Caenorhabditis elegans: one gene and its partners. The protein of the gene in region 1 binds, or shares a complex with, the protein of each later gene. Each region holds a gene or a part of one and is shown on either strand. Other genes may lie near its edges. The genes, in order: dpl-1, lin-54, lin-9 and lin-35.

What was found.
Region 2: dpl-1 (region 1) and lin-54 share a complex: the UniProt entries of both Caenorhabditis elegans proteins name them as parts of the DRM complex.
Region 3: dpl-1 (region 1) and lin-9 share a complex: the UniProt entries of both Caenorhabditis elegans proteins name them as parts of the DRM complex.
Region 4: dpl-1 (region 1) and lin-35 share a complex: the UniProt entries of both Caenorhabditis elegans proteins name them as parts of the DRM complex.

Annotation. Positions count from the first base shown.
Region 1 is NC_003280.10:9,167,994-9,173,147, forward strand, and holds dpl-1 (Transcription factor dpl-1), read left to right. Parts: upstream 1-1,916; 5' UTR 1,917-1,963; coding exon 1,964-1,972; intron 1,973-2,018; coding exon 2,019-2,354; intron 2,355-2,402; coding exon 2,403-2,668; intron 2,669-2,711; coding exon 2,712-2,780; intron 2,781-2,829; coding exon 2,830-2,927; intron 2,928-2,970; coding exon 2,971-3,084; intron 3,085-3,131; coding exon 3,132-3,326; intron 3,327-3,370; coding exon 3,371-3,555; intron 3,556-3,601; coding exon 3,602-3,763; intron 3,764-3,811; coding exon 3,812-4,070; intron 4,071-4,114; coding exon 4,115-4,218; 3' UTR 4,219-4,572; downstream 4,573-5,154. Other genes in the region: T23G7.2 (Calcineurin-like phosphoesterase domain-containing protein), read right to left, coding at 49-454, 510-629, 676-960, 1,013-1,101, 1,152-1,256, 1,307-1,399, 4,588-4,689, 4,741-4,806 and 1 more. UniProt on the Caenorhabditis elegans protein: Synthetic multivulva class B (synMuvB) protein. SynMuvB proteins are required to repress the induction of vulval development by Ras signaling and probably act by forming the multiprotein DRM complex that represses transcription.
Region 2 is NC_003282.8:13,239,338-13,243,956, reverse strand, and holds lin-54 (Protein lin-54), read right to left. Parts: upstream 2,907-4,619; 5' UTR 2,890-2,906; coding exon 2,764-2,889; intron 2,722-2,763; coding exon 2,566-2,721; intron 2,515-2,565; coding exon 2,406-2,514; intron 2,360-2,405; coding exon 2,254-2,359; intron 2,204-2,253; coding exon 1,816-2,203; intron 1,275-1,815; coding exon 1,029-1,274; intron 975-1,028; coding exon 798-974; 3' UTR 556-797; downstream 1-555. Other genes in the region: JC8.4 (CMP/dCMP-type deaminase domain-containing protein), read right to left, coding at 1-282; rpl-12 (Large ribosomal subunit protein uL11), read left to right, coding at 3,397-3,433, 3,559-3,813, 4,024-4,131, 4,181-4,278; tag-115 (SAC3/GANP/THP3 conserved domain-containing protein), read left to right, coding at 4,545-4,619. UniProt on the Caenorhabditis elegans protein: Synthetic multivulva class B (synMuvB) protein. SynMuvB proteins are required to repress the induction of vulval development by Ras signaling and probably act by forming the multiprotein DRM complex that repress transcription.
Region 3 is NC_003281.10:8,899,649-8,905,638, reverse strand, and holds lin-9 (Protein lin-9), read left to right. Parts: upstream 1-1,507; 5' UTR 1,508-1,513; coding exon 1,514-1,570; intron 1,571-1,679; coding exon 1,680-1,798; intron 1,799-1,847; coding exon 1,848-1,980; intron 1,981-2,020; coding exon 2,021-2,623; intron 2,624-2,667; coding exon 2,668-2,826; intron 2,827-3,301; coding exon 3,302-3,712; intron 3,713-3,790; coding exon 3,791-3,895; intron 3,896-3,941; coding exon 3,942-4,091; intron 4,092-4,846; coding exon 4,847-5,044; 3' UTR 5,045-5,401; downstream 5,402-5,990. Other genes in the region: unc-32 (V-type proton ATPase 116 kDa subunit a 1), read right to left, coding at 1-11. UniProt on the Caenorhabditis elegans protein: Synthetic multivulva class B (synMuvB) protein. SynMuvB proteins are required to repress the induction of vulval development by Ras signaling and probably act by forming the multiprotein DRM complex that represses transcription.
Region 4 is NC_003279.8:5,806,051-5,810,797, forward strand, and holds the start of lin-35 (Retinoblastoma-like protein homolog lin-35), read left to right. Parts: upstream 1-1,658; 5' UTR 1,659-1,679; coding exon 1,680-1,737; intron 1,738-1,989; coding exon 1,990-2,085; intron 2,086-2,370; exon of another isoform or gene 2,371-2,447; coding exon of another isoform or gene 2,448-2,588; intron 2,589-2,896; coding exon of another isoform or gene 2,897-3,128; intron 3,129-3,172; coding exon of another isoform or gene 3,173-3,347; intron 3,348-3,392; coding exon of another isoform or gene 3,393-3,486; intron 3,487-3,589; coding exon of another isoform or gene 3,590-3,769; intron 3,770-3,816; coding exon of another isoform or gene 3,817-3,945; exon of another isoform or gene 3,946-3,952; intron 3,953-4,747. Other genes in the region: vps-51 (Vacuolar protein sorting-associated protein 51 homolog), read right to left, coding at 1-162, 211-642, 702-863, 915-1,089, 1,133-1,191; C32F10.4 (uncharacterized protein), read right to left, coding at 2,448-2,588, 2,897-3,128, 3,173-3,347, 3,393-3,486, 3,590-3,769, 3,817-3,945. UniProt on the Caenorhabditis elegans protein: Key regulator of cell division which acts as a transcriptional repressor and negatively regulates cell cycle progression in its active unphosphorylated form, but allows cell cycle progression when phosphorylated.

The DNA of each region.
Region 1 (5,154 bases):
AAATAGTCATCGAACCGTTTTAATGAGAATTTTACATTTTACAACACATTATTCTCCCAGTAATTCCAACACCCAAACTTCGCTCATTCCAATCATTTTCATGGGTGGTCCTTGATACAATGATCCTGCCATTACCATCAATTGACCTCCAAATGGAATCTCATAGAGTCCATAAAAGTATGGTAGAAGCCAATAAACTACTGGAATAACTACGTAGAATTGTCCTGCATGAGTGTGTCCAGATAAGACAATATCAATTTCTGATAATTCTTTCGGATGATCTACGATGAATTCTCGAATTGATGCCGGATTGTGTGCCATGACGATTTGAGAAGTATTTGATGGACATCGATGGATGGCTTTTGGTAGATCCATTTTAGTGTTCAAGATTCCAGATTTCGGACTTGAAATATCGTTTACTCCAGCCAAACAGACTCCTTTCAGCATTGTACTTCTGAAAAATATCACTGTTACTTCCAAGAAAAACTCAAAAACTTTGTAAAACTTACTCGTTTTCAAGAACATTAATACGGCCATTTTTGTAGAATCTTATCCATTCCTGAACGTCTCCATAATAATATTCATGATTGCCAGTTACGAAATAAGTAGGTGCGTGAGCAGGGAGTTGACTGAAAACAAAAATTGAAATTTTGTGAATCAAACTAATTCGCCTACAGAATTGGTCGAACTCTATCCTCGATTTCCGCAACAGGAGCATCTACCATATCTCCAACAATCAGAATAGCATCAACTGGATTTTCAAGCACTTTTTCGACAACTTGATTGATTTGTTCCGAATAAACACTTGCACCAGCGTGCAAATCAGAGATCACTGCCAATTTTAATCGATTTCCATCAGCAGTGAAGTTTTTTATTTTGATGGTCTTTTCTTTGACAACAATCCAATCGCGTGATATAAACATACTGACTGACAGAAGCAAGGTGATTATCATTGTGAATCTGAAAATAACATTTTTAATGATAAGTTCCGAAATGAGATGTTTTTTGTTACTTTATTTGAGATCTTCTTTTCCACATGAGATCGTTAAAATAAGGAACCTTTCCTATTATTTCCAAAATCGAAGCGGTGTAATGGAACATCTGAGAAAATTTTTTTAAAATAATTTAAATATTATTGAAATTAATATTACCTTCATTTTTCCAGCATAGAAATTAACAATCCCAAATCCACATACGAATGCAATCATGTTAGTCCATATTCCCGCGCAGATTGAGGTGAGATCGAAGAGAAGCCACTGAAATGCAAGAGACTCTTTTAACAGCAACACAATTTCTAAAAACAAACCTGGAGAAATGCTGGGGCATAATACATAAAATAAATCGCTTGTCCGAGAACTAGGAAAATAATAAGGCCATCCGAGCATCGTTTCCGGATTGTCTGAAATGAGAATAGGTCAGTTTTTGGTGAGAAGAAGATTTAATCGATTTGAAGAGAAAAATAGTTATGGTCTTTGAAATCGTAGCAGGAAAACAAAATAAATTTTTATTTAAAAGCAAATTCTTGTTTTGCTAACTTTTTCCAACAAGAATATTGCAATTTGTTGAAATTTCAGTGTCGAACGAAAAAAAAAGAAAATTTTGTTCAGCAACAACACTCCGCCTTGACACCTCTCGCGTTGTTTATCGTCATTGATGGGTCTCGCAACGCACGGCGCGTCTTCAAATTTGGGTTTTTTCTGTTTTCCTCCATCTTCCGAATATTATTGATTTCTCTCACGTATTGATCAAAAATTGTTCTGGTTAACGTTTGTATTGCAGCGTTCTTAAAAACCGATAAAATTTAGATTTAGAACAGAAAAGAATCAGTTTTTTACGATGGCAACAAAATATCATTCATTATTCTTATAATTAACACTTTTCGTAGCTTTTCTCGTAATCAAAGTCATCATTTACAGATCTAAGCAATCGAAAATCTTGATTCGTCCAGGCAGGTCCTGTAGAAATGAACCCGGTTTGTAAAATAAGAAATCGATATTATATTAAACTAACATTTGCAGACAAACTACGATCCCCGTATCGGCCAACCGGCACAAAGTCGACCACAAGTATCCCTGAGTATGGGAAGACGAATTGTTCAAATGCCTACAGGTCTTCCTCGTTCATACCAAGATGAGAGTCACAATGAACCTGTGGGCTGGGATGAACCTTCGGGAGTTGGAGGATCTAGTGGAGCAGGAGGTCAACAATCTGACAAACCAACCGGACTCAGACATTTTTCCACGAAAGTTTGTGAAAAGGTGAAAGAAAAAGGATTGACGAATTACAATGAAGTGGCTGATGAACTGGTAGCAGATTACTTTCAAAATAATCTTATCAAGCAGATTGATGTTGTGGTAAGAAGTTTGTTTTTCTTCTTTTGAAAAAAAACTTTTTTTTTCTAGAAACAAGAATACGATATGAAAAATATTCGGAGGAGAGTATACGATGCGTTGAACGTTCTTTTGGCAATGAATATCATCACAAAAAGCAAGAAAGATATCAGATGGATTGGACTTCCTGCTTCAGCTTCACAAGAAATTTCGAGATTGGAAGAAGAGAAATCGCGACGGGAAGCCAGCATAAGTTCCAAAAAGCAGGCTCTCGAAGAAATGGTATTGCAAATTGTTTCTTACAAAAATTTGGTCGAACGGAATAGAAAAAATGAGCAGTACGTTTGAGTGTTAAATATTTTAGAAAAGTTAAATTTTCAGCAAAAATGGTCGCCCAGAAAACGACACTGTACTTCATCTTCCGTTTTTAATAATTAATACTGATAAAGAGTAAGTTGAAATTCCAAAATTATAATAGTCTCAAATATCTATTTTTAAGAGCAAATGTGGAATGCAGTGTATCATCAGACAAATCCGAATTTCTGTTCTCGTTCGACAAGAAGTTTGAAATTCACGATGATTTCGAAATTTTAAAAAGTAAATTTAAATGCCAAAAACCGATAAGATCCACATTTTTCAGAGTTGAACCTTGCATGCAGTTTGGAGACTACAAATCCCACAGCGGAAGAAGTCAAAACTGCGAAAAGCTTTTTGCCAACCTTACACCAGCACTATGTCGACGAAATCATTGCCAGTAAGTATTTCTTTTTAAAAATCAATCATGGAAACCACAATTTTCAGACCGTAAAAAGGTTGAAGCAGAAAAAGAGGAAAAGAGAAAACAACAACAGTTGATTGCTGATCAAATGTCTATGAACCTCTCACAAGCCCAATACGTTGAGCCGACAAGCTCTTTGGCGCAAATGTCATATTCATCGCGATTCAACAGACAGCTTCAGGAGCATTTGATAAACGATGGAAGTGAGGACAGAAGTGGTAAAAAAGTTTTTTAAAAACATTAAAAAAATTGTTTTTTCTAGCTGCTGCCGGTATAATGGAACGCGATTATGATATGGATAAGAATGTTAATCAGGGATCAGCCAGCCGAGGGCCAATGTATAATACTTATAGTCCACAAAAGATTCGAGCTCAAGTTAACACGCCTCTTCAAGTACCACCCGTTACCAAACGATATTACGTACAGAAGACACAAGGACCAATGAAGGTTTGTTCAAAATGAAGATTTTTCAGTACAACTAAAACATTTTCAGCATGATATGACTCCCGTCGTTCGAACTGTCAATCGGCCGTACTCTACTGTACCTCCAGATCGCAGGCTCTCAACTGGAGCTACTTCTGTGAATTCAGGACCTGTAAAATACTACGTGCCACAAGGACATCAACCGATGCATCAGCCAGTTGGTCAGAGATATGTAAGTTCGTTTTAAAGATTTCACAAACTGATTTTTCTTATTTTTCAGAGAGTTCGTCCACAGCAACCACAAATGAGTCATATGGGTCAGCCACATCAAGTGCAACAGAGAGTTGTCTATCCTGCTGGAAGCATTTCTGGACATCAGTTACAACCTGGACAACGAATCGTAACTCAGCGAATTGTTGCTCCAGGTGGTCCACACCCGCCGGGCACAATTGTTCGGAAAGTGATTCGTAAAATTGTTGTCAACAATCCAAAGCAATCTCCAGCTCAACAAGTTATACAAAAGAAAATGATGGAGCAAGGTAATTTAAATTTGCCTTAAATAATTTAAATAATTTAATTTCAGATATGTGCACATTTGAACGCAAAACGGAACAGCCGATGACTTCTGCGCAGGCCGCTGCTCTCATTCAACACCCTCAACCGGAGGAATACGATTATTTCCAGTAAATGTTTAATGTAACTAGTTGTTATCCCCCTTTTCCCAGTTTTTAAAGGTTCTCAAACGATTCTCATCTGCTTTTAAAATAGTTTCTATACGAGTTTCAATTTTATTTCTAGACTCCTTTAAAATCCCCTCTTCTTTAATCTTTAAAATAGTATAGTCTTCTTCGTCGATTCTATTCCGACATTTGCCAGATTAGAATTGACGACAGATTTCATAATCTACCTTTTACATTATTATTTTGTGTTCAATTTGACATTTTGAAATATGCTTCTTATATGCCCCGACTTTGACAGCATTATATGTAACTCAATGCTCCCGATTTTACCATCATTTTTTATGAAAGAATGATAGATTATAATTTTTAGTTTTACCTGCATTTTTCGGCGATCCAACGATTTCTCCTTGACAATGTCATCGTCGAACCATCTCATCAGCTGGCCGTATGCAAACACATTTAACAGAGTTAAAATGCACTTTAATTGGATTAAATTAATTAGATTTTTTAATTAGAAGAAGCAACTCACTTCAATGCGGAACACGGCAATGACTCGACGGCGGTTACCAACTAAATATCCTTCCACTGATTCAATCTGGAATATGATATCTTATAGAAAAAACTGGGCTTATGTAAATCAACTCACCCAAAATCTTGAGCAATACGTGAGCAGAATCCAGGAGATAACCGAGCCAAAAACGAGAAATCGCTCGAAACTCATCTGAAATTGAAACTGCGAAGACATACTCACTCGAGATCTTTTTTCTGATCGCTTTTCCTGTTTAGCATAGAATTGTCAATGTTCTCTCTCAGTTTATCGCCCAAACTCATCTCCTTACATCCGATTTCTATCGGGAGAAGGAGAAAATTTAGAGAATGACCATTTCAAAAGTACGTGGAAGCGACTGGATTATCGGCTGTGTTGTACGGGATGAAAACATAA
Region 2 (4,619 bases), on another chromosome or scaffold:
CATTATGCAGGGCTCCAGGGAAACGTAGAGCGTGGATTTTTTGAGCAGATCCTCGCAGCCCGTTCCGTGCTCTTTCCACATTTCAGTGACTGCTACCATCTCAGCATGCCTTGTCGGATCACCGGTCTCGTTCACACGATTCCGACCTCTTCCAATTTCTGTTCCATTGACCACAAATACACATCCAACTGGAACTTCATCTTCATCTAAAGCTTCTTGAGCCAATTCGAAGGCTTTTTCCAGAAATGCAGTGTCCTCGGCGCTCAGCTCGTTTTCTGACATTTCTAATAAATTTTCTAGGTTTTAAAGGTGTACTAATTCGCATTTTAATTATTTTTTGCACAATAAAAATTAATTTTAATTTTAATCGCAGACCAGCGATGCATATTGTGCGCCGAAACACTCCTGAATAGCTTTGTTTAAAATAGGAGCGTGTTTCGGCGCACAATACGCAATTAAAATTTAATTTAAACTTCTGAATCAAAAAATCAAACATTTCTCGAAATAATTACTTTGCTGGGAACAAATGTGCAACTATGCTGCCAAATAATAAAAAAAAGACACAAAACTTCATAAATATAACACAATAATTTCTAAAATTGAAGAGACGCAGGTGAGTTAGTAAAAATGAAACAAATTTTTCTGATCATTTTTTATTTGACAACTTTGAAAGAAGGCAACTTGTGAATCTGTAAAAGCATTGAGAGGAGGGGAGGAAGGCAAAGAATGTGTGAGAGGTGAGATCATAAAAGATCGCGCAACTGTGATAAAATTGATAATAATTTTAATGCGAATAGTTAAGAAGTACTAGTAGATGGTCCTGGGATGTCATCCGTTGGAGCGGCATCAAGATCTTGTGTGAGCTCAGTTGTGTTTGTGATCATTTGTTCGAGACAGCGGCCGAATTCACGAAGGACAAGCTTCTCCATATTGATGAGTTTTTCGTCTTCGGTTTGCACTTTTTCGTAGTTTAACTGCAAAGAAAAAAAATTAAATTCAATAGGAAACCAATTGATTTTCCAACTAACAGCTTCTTCAGCTTGAGCAACCATGCACATAGTGGCTGCCTCAACGACTTCATCGGTCATATAGTACCACGGGAAGCGTCTAGGATCCATCTCGACCTTCGGTTTATGCGAAAGAAGCATATCCTCGTAGTCGTCTCCATGCTCATCGGTCACCACACTTCCCGGACCAGAATCTGGAGTCGCTGTGCTGGAAGCGTTGGTCAATGACATCAGGGCATTCGTATTGGACACGGCACCACCGGAGTTCTGAAATTAAAATTTGAATAAGAAATTAAATTTATTGCAAGAATTGCGGTATTTTGAACGTATAGAGATCCAAAATATGATTTTTTTAAATTTGAAAAAGGTGAAATTTGAGCTAAAATATTCAATTTTGGCCACTTTTCCGCGTCGAAGCGGTCGGAAATTGACATTTTTAAAATTATCATCTTTTATTGCATATTTTGGTATTTTATCTAACGTTTTTTTAAAAATTTCATCAATTAAAGTACATTTAAGGCCGAGAGGTGACCAAAAATGATCGAAATTGGTTACCGATCAGCTTTAAATGTACCTTAATCAATGAAATAACGTCAGATAAAATACCAAAATATTCAATAAAAGATGATAATTCAAAAAAAGTCAGCTTCCGACCGCTGGGACACGGAAAAGTGATCAAAATTAGCCTTTTTCGGAATTTTGAACTGCCAAACAAAACTTGTTAATTTGAGCACATTTGTTAGCCTATACGTTCGAAAAATCCAGAATCGTTACTCCATTTTTTAAACTGAATTATAGGAAATTGCACCTTGTATCTTGTCATTCTGTATGTTTCAGTATTCTGACATCCTTTGCACTTGCATCGATCGGTACACGGAACCTTTGCTTCATAACACTCACAATAGTTTTTCAGACAACCACTCTTTTTACAGTGACATCCTTTCTGATGAAGACGTTCGATGTCGGTAATACCTCCACGAGCAATACCAATTTTTGGCTTGAAAGCGTTCGGATTTCGCTCAAGTGACTGACGGATGGCTTTTGAACGCTGACTGTCGTATTCTATATTATTGTGACAATCCTTGCAATTGCAGTCACGACAGAACTCTCCATTGGCGAAACAATCACAGTAGAGCTTGAGGCATTGAGATTTCGTGCAATTGCATGGTTTCCGCTGGCCAGGTGCAAATACTTTTCTTGAAAAATAGAGGAATTAGTGAAAAGTTACAAAATTTGAGTTCTTTACTTTTTAGTTTTCAATCTAATATGACTAACGTGATCTTTCATATCGATGTAAACTTTTCGCTGTTCAGAATTTCCCATCTCCAAGCCCATTGGTTGCACTGTTCTAGCTTAAATAAAATAATTATTAGGACAAAAGATCTCTAGTTTACGAACGTAATGAAGCGGGCTGTCGATCGTACATTGAAGGTGAACCCGATAAATTGGACAAATTCCGCACAGTGTACTGAGACGATCCGGGAGTGCTGGGCCCAGGCTGAAAAAGCTTCCAAAGAGGTTAGTCAATTCGTAAAAAATCGAAAATTTTTAAAATTACTTTTCGCTGAACTGGTCTCGGAGGGGGGACGTAGACGCGATGCGATGATGTATCAATTGGTTCGTCTTTGACCAATCCCTGATTAACTTCCATTGATCGATTATGCTGTTGAATCATACTCGAGGTTCCCGGACGATTTTGCTGCGCCTGTAAGTTCTGAGAAAAGTTTATTTTTATTTCGAATTGAAAACAAATTACTGGATTATGAGGCACAAGCTGTCCATTAACTTCGATAAATTCGGCACCTTCTTCATAATTATCGTATATCTCCGATTCGTCGTAATAATCATCGTCGTCTTGATAAACGATTTCTCCTTGATTCATTGTCAACACTGAAAATACTGAAAAATAACTAATCAGGAAAACAATGTTTTAGCATTTGGAAAGAGATTAAACGAAAAGAAATTAAGTTATCTTGCCAGAAAATTCCCAACAAAAAAAAAAGAACATCGTTTTGAGGATGAAATACAACTTATTTACGTTCCTTTTTGAACCAAAATTTCATTTTTCGCCGTCTAAATACTTTCAAAAATGTTAAATTAGTAACTTATTTCTTGAAAATCAATAATTCAATAAGATTTAATATTAATAAATTTAAAAAACACCCAAAAAAAGGATTAAAAAATTGTTTCGCGCGCCGAAATTTGATTAAACAAAAATAATGCAAGTGCGCTCCACAGTTAATGTTGTTTGAAAATTGACATCGACAATTCGCTGCGTAGCGACGCAACAACCATTGTGATACGGAGTCAATTCGCCGGCGCCAAGTCCTCGCGACGAATTTTTTCTCACTTTTGTCACCGCCGGTATCCCTGGTAGACGTCACTCATCATGCCACCAAAGTTCGACCCAACTGAGATTAAGATCGGTAAGTTGCTCATTTTTGTGCACATTTAATTAGGTATTTGACGTATTATGCGTGATTTTCAATTTGTCAAAGATTTCATCATCGTGATTTTTGAAAAACTCTTTTGCATCATTTTCACTTTTCAGTGTACCTCCGTTGCGTCGGAGGAGAAGTCGGAGCCACCTCCGCTCTTGCCCCAAAGGTCGGACCACTTGGATTGTCTCCAAAGAAGATCGGAGAAGACATCGCCAAGGCCACCCAAGACTGGAAGGGTCTTAAGGTCACCTGCAAATTGACCATCCAGAACCGTGTTGCCAAGATCGACGTTGTCCCATCTGCTGCTTCCCTCATCGTCAAGGAGCTCAAGGAGCCACCACGTGACCGCAAGAAGGTCAAGAACGGTACGCATTTAATGCGTTGGGTCGGGAGTCGATATGCTCTCATCCCCTGGTCTCTTACTTCATAAGTTTGTAAAAGTTTGTGACTTAAAGACTAGTAACCTAAGTGATTTTCATGCTCCGTGAGTTTGATTTTTCCTGGGTTTGGTGTTGTCTCGTCCCAACGGGTTGTTTAATCAATCTAGTTTAACGTTTTGCACGTTTCCATTTCAGTGAAGCACAATGGAGACCTCACTGTTGACACCATCATCAAGATCGCCAGAATCATGAGACCAAGATCGATGGCCAAGAAACTTGAAGGAACCGTCAAGGAGATCCTTGGTAATATTTCGAAAACGATAAACTGTTTCTAAATATTGTATTTTTTCAGGAACAGCCCAATCCGTTGGATGCACAATTGATGGACAACACCCACACGACATCATCGAGTCGATCGCCAATGGAGAGATCGAGATCCCAGCTCAATGATCTGTCACTTGTTTTTGTTGTTCCAATAAATTCTTGTTACTATCTGCGTGTATTTTGATAAATATCTCAATAAATCATGCAAGACGTCTAATTTAGAATTTGTATCGAAAGACACTGGTGTTGGGATTCATTTGTTATCTATTTCTGGTAAAAGAACTCGTGCTTCGTCGCTTTTCGAAATCGATTTTTGCGTGGAGAGAAACTGCGCTCTGATGAATTTTTTCTTCAGTTTATTTTATTTTAAAATATTTTCGCTTCATTCAGAAATGGCCTCGTGTGAATCAATGTGCCCAGTCGCTGAAATAAATTTTCGAAGCCGGAATCATCTGATAGATCAATTA
Region 3 (5,990 bases), on another chromosome or scaffold:
TAATCACCCATTCTAGTTGATTCTGTAAGAATTTCCATGAAATAATATGAAGATTTCAAAAATAAGAAGGAAAAAAAAATCAAAAACGCTTCTTTCGAGAGAAAACATTTAAGAAAAGCACGAGGCTAGGAGCGAAGGCCTCAGGACCGAAGACCAGATATTGACGGAGAGGGATCGATACGGAGCAGCACTGAGCAAGAAGAGAGCATGCGCTCAAACGTGCTCCATTGGAATATCATGAAAAAAGGGAGAGAAATCTAGAAAAAACTAAAGAAACAATTTGCGCAATCTAATCGATCAGCCGACACGTCATCGACATTAGAGCGTAATTCTCCAGGATCTAATAGCTAGACGCAGAGAAATAAACTTTCAGATGGCGAATAAGAAAACCTAAAGGAGATGAGGAAGAAATGAACAGGACAGGTTTTAAAAGAAAGAAAATGTCTGATTGTCTGCCTCATTCACCGCAATGTTTGAACACTGAAACCATTTGTAAGCAGTGTTATAGGATGGAGAAACGTAAACATTGGGCGACTCACATTTCGTGGATATTATGAAATTCAATCGATTCGATCAAAAGGTTGAGAGAAATGAAATAATTGTAGAGCAGTGGGGGAGATTGAGTGGTGATAACGCGAAAAAACGATAAGATTACGCTGCGAGAGGTCAACTTTGCACAAAAACTTCAATTTTGATGCGGAAATTGTATTAAATTTAAGAGAATTGTTTCTTTGCAAAAAGATTTTATAAATAGTGTTTCAAAGTAACATCAAACCATAGAATCCAGATCCAGAACGAAAAACGCTGACTAAAAACACTAAAGAAGAATATTGCTTTGAAGAAAAAACCTGTGAGATGTTTTCGGAACAAAGATGAGTGATTGAAGACGAAATATTTTTAATGAAAAGTTTATTCTACAATTTTAAAACTTTGCGGCCAAAATAAATTTTGGTAAACACTTAGTAGGAATGAACAATTTTATAATGTTTCTTGCCAATAAGGAGAGAAATGAATCATGAGAATGGAAAGAGAAGAACAATATAAACAAAATAATTCGTTTTAAATGCGGAAAGGAAGAAAAAAACATGTTTCACCGCATGATCTTGTGTAAAACCATGTTTAAAATTTAATGATAACCCAGGAAAGATGGAAAATCAATACAAATAAGAAATAAAACAAATAAAAAAAAAAAAAAAACTTTCACGAGAAAATCCAAAAACGGAATGTCACGACGTTCGACTGTCAAACAGCAGCTCTCCCTTTTTTCCGTTTCCCACCACATTCACTTCTCTCAGCTGTGTTCTGTTTTCCAACAGACAGCGCTCCACCGTACCTCGCTACACTGCCGCAGGGCAATCGCGTCGAGACCATCACGCTGTTTGAAATCGGCTGTTGGTTGGGGAAAAGAACCGCCATTTCAAAGTTTTTTTCGCGCGCGCGCGTCCGCATTCTTTCATTGATTTTTGTCTCGTGGTCTGAAATTATTCAAAAATTTGTTATTTTTCAGATAAAAATGTCGTCTGCGGTGAGAAGTCCGCGGAAAAAGGCAGCAAGTGACACGTCTGATCCTGTAAGTTATTGGAAATATTGATTTTATTGGGTTTTCGTGTTTTTAAAAATAAAGAAGTTGTAAATTAAAGAAAGATATTGAAAGTATGCATGACATTCGGTATTTTCAGGATCGCACCAGCTCACCATACAGTCTCCGTGAAACATCTAAAGTTCCATCGAGATATCGTAATGAAGAACTATACCTATCACCGTCTCGCAGTATCAAACGTACCGGATCTCCCAAAAAGTAACAAGCTGTTCCGAAAAAGTGGCCGACTAATCTTATGATTTTACAGATCTCCCGCGAAACGCCTGAATGGAGGTAGAGATTCTCCTTCAGTGAACTCATTGACCCGAAACTCAAGTCTAACAATGCTCGCAAAGGCAGCTCTTGATTATGAATCTTCCAGTTGTGCTTTGGAATATATTGTAAGTTTTAAAACAATTGTATTGTTGTCATGTCTCCAAGTTCCAGCCAAAAGAAGAACGACGCCCTCCACGCAGAGCTCTTGCTCTGTCTCCGCCTCCAGCACCAAGTAATGATCTTCTCGCAAAGGATCTGGAGATGATTGAGATGCATCAAAACCTTGTAGCAGGTCTTGATGATTTAGATAATCCTGCGAATATGACAAATGAAGCTGTAGAACATCGAGATACACAGTCATTCTTCAACATGTTCAGTACAGATCAAGAACGAAGTGCCATGATGAAACAATTCAAAACGTATAAAAATCAAACAAGTGAAGATGTGAGCACATTTATGAGAGCTAATATAAAGAAACTCTACAATTTGCTCCGATATAAGAAAGCTCGTCAATGGGTCATGTGCGAGTTCTTCTATTCTGCAATCGACGAACAAATTTTCAAAGAAGAAAACGAGTTTGCCACAATTATCCGCGAATCTTTCCCAAATCTGAAAAATTGGAATTTAACGCGTATTGAGTGGCGGTCGATTCGAAAACTTCTCGGAAAGCCACGTAGATGCTCGAAAGTGTTTTTTGAAGAAGAAAGAATGTACCTGGAAGAGAAAAGAATGAAGATTCGAAGTGTCTATGAAGGAAGTTATCTTAACGTAAGGCTGAAGAGGTGTATCATTTTCAATAAATGTTCTTTCAGGATCCATCGATTGATCTAAAAGATCTTCCAGCCAAGCTTCCACGTCCAATGGTGGTTGGAAATCGTGTATTTGCGAGAATTCGAAATCCCTACGATGGAATTTATTCTGGAATTATTGATGCTGTCATTCCGAAAGGATTCAGAATTATTTTTGACAAGGTTTGTAAAAGGAGACTCAATATCACCCAAAACGCCCGAATTTTGTAACGAGATGTCTTAAAATTTCGCCACAAACCTATTTTCAGCTAAATTCGTGAACTTCGCCAACTTGTCCATTTTGTACATGCTGGAATGCAATTCTTATTGCATTTTCAACAGTTATTGCATATTTTAGTGGTTTATTTCGCTTTAATTCTATGATTTAGGATCACTTTAAGTCGATAGACACCAAAAATATCAAAGTAGGATTCTTATCGACTTAAAATGTGCTCAAATCATCGAATTACTACCAAAATATGCAATAAAAAGTGTTAGGAGAAATTGACAAAATTTAATGATTTAGCTGAAAATAGGAAGTCTTTGGAAATTAAGACGTCCTATTACTATATTCGGTAGTTTTGGATCATAAATTATTTTGTTTTAGGGAAATTTGAATATTTGAAATTCTATAAATTCCAATGTTTTATTCTTTCAGCCAGATATCCCACCAACACTGGTTAGTGACACGGAAATACTTCTCGACGGAAAACTTGATTTGTTGAGTATCGCCTACTTCATTGAACAAGCCAACTCTAAGCTTCCATCAGGCGTTCGTCCATTTGTAGCAGCAGTTCGTGACTCATCACATCCACATCTTGTTCGTGACGTCCTGGTTTCTCGAAAAATCGAGAGAAGTGGTGGACCATTAATGGGACCGAACGACGAACGATTAAATGGAAAAAATGCAGAAATGGTTGGAAATTTCCCGCTGAAATTCCTTGTGAATCTTGTGAAACTGACGAAATTAATTGATATCAAAAAGGGATTGATACGACAATTGAACGAATTGAATGCGGATGCCGAGATACAAAATATGACGTCAGACAAATATTCGAAAGCTTTTCAGGTACATTTTTAATTAGAAATTTTTTTTGATATATGAAAAAGTCAACTAGATAGAATCTAAAAAACAATTTTTTTTCAGGAGAAATACGCCAAAACTATCATCGATCTGGAACATGTGAATCAGAATATAGATATCAATATGAATGGAATTCAAGATCACCATATGTATTTCTCTTCGAATGATGTAATTTTTCATTTCCTGATTCTTCGAAAGATCTATTTGTTTGCAGATTTCAACGTCAAATATGAAACCTGAAGCAGTTAGACAAATGTGCTCTCAACAAGCTGGAAGATTTGTAGAGCACTGTAATCAAGGATTAAATGTAGAGAATGTGCATGCGTTGACACTTATTCAATCATTGACAGCTGTCCTTTTACAGGTTTGTGGCACTATAGACTGCAGAATAATAATTTATTAATGAAAAAAAAAATTGAAAATGTAAAAATTCATTAGAAAATAAACTTCGGTTTTTACCAAATCCTCTTTCCTAATTTCATTATGGGACGATGCAAGTGAATTTCTCGTCATTTCTCGACACATTTTTTGCAATGCAAGTGTGCGGAGAAATGACGAGAAATGTCGTGAAATTCGCAATTTCTACGCGTTTCTCGACATATGAGATGTGTCCTCGCAGGGTGGTAAGACATTTCACCCTGTTAAAAGTGCGGTGAGTAGGCGGAGTTTCCTGCGGGGACACATGTTTCTGCGTATCTCACCGTTCATCATATGTCGAGAAATGCGGAGAAATTGCAAATTTCACGACATTTCTCGTCATTTCTCCGCGCACTTGCATTGCAAAAAATGTGTCGAGAAATTACGAGAAATTCACCACGTGTTTTCAGCTCGACCATTCGGTGTAATTTGTGCAAACACCGTCACGCGCTGCGGTGAAATTCCTCTTGGCGAATTCAAATATTTTTTCCCGCCTTTTTTGAAAATTTTCGAGGCGTTGGTCGAGCTGAATACACGTGTTCACTTGCATCGTCCCATTAGAATTAATTACAAATTACTATTTTACAAAAAAAAAACTAAAATTGTTTCCTAGAATTCAAAATTACCTGGTCATCGGTAAAACACTATTAAAAAATTTTTTTACTGCAGAAAAATATTAGAAAAAATATTATATTTTTCCAGGTTCGCACAATGGGAACTCAAAAGATCTCTGCAGTTGATCTTCAATCACTTGGTGACGCCATATCTGAAATTCGGACCGCTATTCACCCCCGCAACGTGGCATTCTTCCAAGACTACGTTGAAGTTCATATGAAACAATTTCACACAATTATGCTCGAAAGTGGAGCACTAGCTGGAACTGTATCGAACAGAAAATAACTAAAAGCGTCTCATTTTGTCCAAAAAAACGCCAACCGGTCCCGTCAGTTTTTGTTTTTCTGAATATTCTCAGTTCTCTCATCTCTGCTCTCTCTCTCTCCCCACCTTCTTCAATCACTTTGTGTCTTTTCAAAATTGTACCCGATCATGAGACACATCCCCATTTTTCTTATTTTTTAAAAGTAGTTCAACCTTGATAATTCGAATGTGCCAAAATTCTATTTTCTTCCTCATTGTCATCATCATCATCATCAGTTTTCGAGAAAAACGAGCCAAATAACGAAACCCTTGTCAGTTATACTCCACTATTTTTTATTTTACTGACTGTCTAGAAAATAAATAAAATTTTAAAGTTTCAGGTGAATTTTCATTTTATTATGTTTGCCAGCGGTGAGAAGATATTAGCCCGGACACAAAAGTGAGCGCTAAAAGTACGGTAACTGGTCACGACAAATGTCTGTTAAATACAAACGGATGTGCGCCTTCAAAGATTACTGTAGTTTTAAACTGTCTTTGCTGCGTAATTTTGATCAATTTTTATAGTGTGTTGCGCGCCTTGCTTCGTATTTGAATTCCATTCGCATTTTTTGCTGTTTTGCTGCTAATTTCTTTATTAAATTTATCACGAATGCGTTATTTCGGAGCTTCGTTGTTTCGTTTGAAAGTAAAAATAAAAATAGGAGGAATCGTGGCGAGACCCGCTCCCTACGAAATCTCATGTCCCTTTAACTTTTTGCGCCAAAAAACGAATTTCAATTTTTTTAAAAGTCATTTTTAGCTTTTTTTCTTAATTTTCTTATTTTTTAACAAAAATTTCACTGAAAACCGACAAAAATACATTTAAAACTGTTTAAAAAATTTGAAAAAATAGTTAAAATTTAAAAAATTTCTGTTAATCTTTTATGAAATTTTTGAATGTTTCAAGTACATTGATATCATTCTTATA
Region 4 (4,747 bases), on another chromosome or scaffold:
GATAGTTAATGGAAGAAAGTCAAGTCCAGGAATCACATAGCGGCAGGTTGAGATTTTTCGAAAATATCTATCAAGAGCCCGGACGACAATTGAACAGTCTTTTGCATCACTTGATGATAGAAAAACTTTTGAAACCAAAGCATGCAGAGAATTCATTTCCGTCTGTAAAAAAACTTTAATTTAATCCAAATCGTTTTTAAATTAACAAACCTTCAAAACCGTAATAAGATCTTCTCGTTTATCCTCAAATAATCGATCATGAGTTGTTGCAATCAGAGTGAGATTTGGAATAAAACTCTCAGAAGCTTTATCAACGAGATCCAAAACATCCGAATGATTTGCTGATAATTCTTTCAAATCTACTCTTAAAGATTGTTCTGAACACGTGAGCAACACTTTCTGAACTTCATCTTCATCTCTTCCAATTGTTAATAATAAATCTACAGCTTCTGATACTAATTCTGCACCAGAAGCCGGATTTCGCAGTTGATCCATTAATTGATTTTCCGTCATATCATAAATTTTCTTACTTTTTTGAAGAACTAATTGAACTGTTGGAACGTCTTTATACTGCGATAGTGACTCTTCTGCTAATTTGAACATTCGAAGAACTTCTCCATAGTTTCGCTCATCGAATTCACTCTGGAAGTTGTTTAGTTTGATGCAATATGAAAAAAAAGTTTTAAAATTAAAAATGTTACCCGCAGAACATGAGGAAGATCGAAAATATGCTTCAAACTATTCACAACTTTATACGAGCTTCCCAATTGTAGAATATCGTCACGTTTTTCGCCCAAAACTCCGTCAAGATTCCCAATTAGAGTCGATATTGTCGACATACTTCGGCTGAGAGATTTCATTTCCTGAAAATTAACATTAAAATTGTCTGATTTTATTATTATTCGAAAACTAACAGAATCGAGTTGCGTGAATTCATCTTGTATTTTTCGAACCGTATTTGTCGCAGTCAGAAATTTATTGTAATTTTCGTAGACTATTTGATGTACATCTGAATCAAGCCTTCTCACAGCTGAAACCATCTCCTCCTCTTCTTTTACTAATCCATCAAGCGACTTTTCACGGAGTAATCTGAATTAATAATATTTATCAGTGCATATCTCTGAAAACTAACTTGACGACAAATGCTTCGACATCAAAATCCGGCTTTGTGACGTCCAAAACACTAGACATTTTACATTCAATACTGAAAAATTAAAGAAAATTCAGGAAAACTCGAGAATGAAAAAAAACAGATTTGAGACACCATCAATACAAAGGGAACGAAATTTGGGGGAAATGCTGGTTGCCGAAAAAATAAGTAGAAGGTAAGATGTGTTCAACTGGAACATACATTTTCTGAATTGCAAACTCGATTTCTCTCACATTCACAATTTTTAATCACATTTAATGCTTCAGTTTTAGAAAGTTCTGAAGTATCCTCTTCTTCCTATTCAGTTTCTCAAAATCGATGGTGTCTCCAGGACGTGCACAAATGCGCTCTATTGCGAATTGTGGAACATCATTGCGCGCGCGACTAGAAAAAAATGAGCGCGTTCTTGAAAATTATTTTGCTTTCTCTAATTTTAAACGATTTCGATTACATTTTATCTGAACTTTCTTGGGTTTAATCGAATAAAAAACACAAAAATATTCTTCAGACTGGTAAAAACTTCTTCAATATGCCGAAACGAGCAGCCGATGAGCCTGGAACATCAACAACTGACCCATTTCACGAGCGTAAGCTTTAAATGATTTTATTCAAAGCGTATAATTATACTTGTCTGGAAAGTGAGGCGTTATCAAAGCTAGTTTCTCCGCCGCAGTGAATAGAAAAACTGATTAATGCAATTTGCGCAGGGTTCGATTTTTTCGAAATTTTTTAAACAGCGTTCAAGATTTTACTTGCCTTTCCATCAGGGAGAGAAATTTTTTAGAACTCAGCCTCAAATTACCGCAAATAAATTTAGATATTAATTGATTTATTTTCAGAAAGCCCATTCGATGCCGTGTTAGCCGGCACGGAGACAACGGATACAATATGTGAAGAGCCACCAGCAAAACGAATCGACTTAGATATAAAGCAAGGTATGGGGTTTTATAAATATTAAATCTGATTATTTTCTCCTTTTCAAAAATATTAAACAAAAACAAGGGTTTGCAGCCTCATGTGATAATCTAAATGACTGCTTTGTTTTACATATTAAGAGCATCCTTCGTTTTTCCAATAATTTTCTCTATGAAGATAGATATTCCCCAGTTCATTATCACCTTTATCACAACTCGCTATCATCTCCTACTTATATAGGAAATTATGAAGTTATCAAGCGCTCAGTCACCTGACTAGTTAAGAGGTCACTAACAACAATAGCTACCAATCAAGCAACATTTTTATTATTGCACACAACCACGAGCAAATGTCAAAATATACATAGAAGACAGAGTGAAATCTATTGAAGAACGTCACTTCGGACTGTTATATGTCCTGGTTCAACCACGTCACTATATGCAGGCGGCCGAGAAGTTGCACGTGGTCGGGTTGGATCTTCATCATTTGTAAACGCCGAATTGTCAGCTCCTGTTGGTTCACTCTGAAATTGTTACAGAGTTTTAGTGATGTCATAGGGAAAGAATTTTAGAGCTCATTCTGGCTCGAATTTGCTGGAAATCGGAGGTTTCCCAATAATAACCATTTTTCTGATATTAGTATTACTTTTTCGACTACAAGCGCTCCGTAACAAAATTTAGCGGGTTATTTGAAGTTAATTATAATCGCATTAAGACGTATTTATCTAATGCAGCTTATAATATAGAAAGAATAGCTTAGTTTTATATTATTGATTAATGAATAGTCGTTGAAACGGATTTCATAAAGCTTCAAAAAATTTTCAAAACTCACATTGGCAACTGTCAAAATCGGTGTCGATACGAAAGAACCACTCCTCGTTGATGCCGACGTCGTCGAACTCTCGCTATCAACAGGTTGTTGTTTTGTAGGAATCGGAGGAGCAGTTTGACTTGACATTGGTGGGGCGTAGGCGGTATATCTTGGTGGTGGTGGCATACCACTGGGACTCATTGGTGTTGGTACAATGTATTGAACATTGTAATTTGACGCCTGATGTTGAGGTCTGAACCATTGAATGAATATTCATAATTGAAATAATGGACTCACAATCTGTATGCATTTCTTCTGAGGAAGTTGTAGAGAATCATCATATATCGCATTTGGACGAGTGCAACAATAATACTAACAGTTAGGAAGAAACATGAGATTATAACCATTTCTAATTCTCCAGTTGTCATTTTTGGAACACATCCCTTCGCAGTGGTTACATCCTTTTGGTTATCTTCAAATCAGTTTCTTTATTCCGGAAAATTGTATTGAAACTAACCTGGATTGCAAATGTTATCATTGTTATCCGATAAATAAATACATGCAATAACTGCTCCCAGGATCAAGAAAAACACCCAAAATGTGTACATTGACTGAAATTGATAATTATTTCTCAAAGTGTATATTAACGAGAATATTGATGCTTCCATAATTGACTAGGAACATCGAATCTTGTGAGTTATATTTAAAACGTACTAGATATAACATGTAAGCAGTGATATAGGCAATTTTTCTACGCTTTGCACCAGTTGATAGAACAAACATCATGGCGCTTCCAATAGAAATCTCGAAAACGTAGAGCACAAATGGAGATGGATACAAAAGTCCGAATATTTGACATATCATGAGAATGGATCCGAGAATTCCAACAGCTCCCTGAAAAATGTTCAATCCTTGCTGAGATTCAAAATTTCTGAACTTACACCAATTGGAAGTCCACAAAATACCCTTGGCTCCGGTTCAGCAGCTATCCGCTGTGTTGGCTGATGTGGTTCAGCCCGTTGTTGCGGGTGCTGATACGGATCCGTCGTTTGAGAAGACTCGGTTGTCATGGTTCTTCTGGAATCAATACAATTTTCTTGGCTTATATGGTTTATAAATGCATTTGTGTGTGTCTGAGTGTGCCAACAAGAGACCTCTACGAGAGAAAAGAAAAGGAGAAGCAGAGTCGGGGAGGTGACATACGACTGATATGGTCGATGTCACGACAATATGATTCTCTTTTTCTCCCCCTTTCAATTCTTCATGTGTCGGTTGAGTAAATATTGCATGAAACTGTAGAAATGAGGGCATTGGGAGATAGAGAGAGGGACGTTGAAAATAGAGAAGAGCACTAGAATCAGCTGAGAGTATGTGGAGAAATAAAGAATGATAAGAACGTTGGAAGAAACTAGAACAATTTTGGCAGCTTAGTTTCGTCGTTACTTGATTTGTCACAATTAAATATGGATAAGTTGAGAATCAAGGATGCCAAAAAATATTTTTGACAAAAAAAAACAAAAAATTTCTTGTTCAAATTTCGTACCAAAAACAAAAAAAAATTGGATTTTATTTTTCTCGCGATTTAAAGTTAAAAATTTCGAAATTTTTTTTTGGTTTTTATGATATTTATACAATTGTATTTCTATAGAAATACCGAAAAAAAATTGGTGACTTATCGAATTTGTTTTAATTGGAAAAATATAATGGATTCAATTCGTTCTTTAAAAATTATTGGAAATTACTTTAAAATTGAAAAAATTGAAATTTTTTTCATTAATTTAAAAACTGACATCCTTGGGTCAATTCATTGCCATCTGGATAAATTTCCTTTAATATTGTAAATCATTGAGTGTTTCCAGTTGTGTAGGTCTC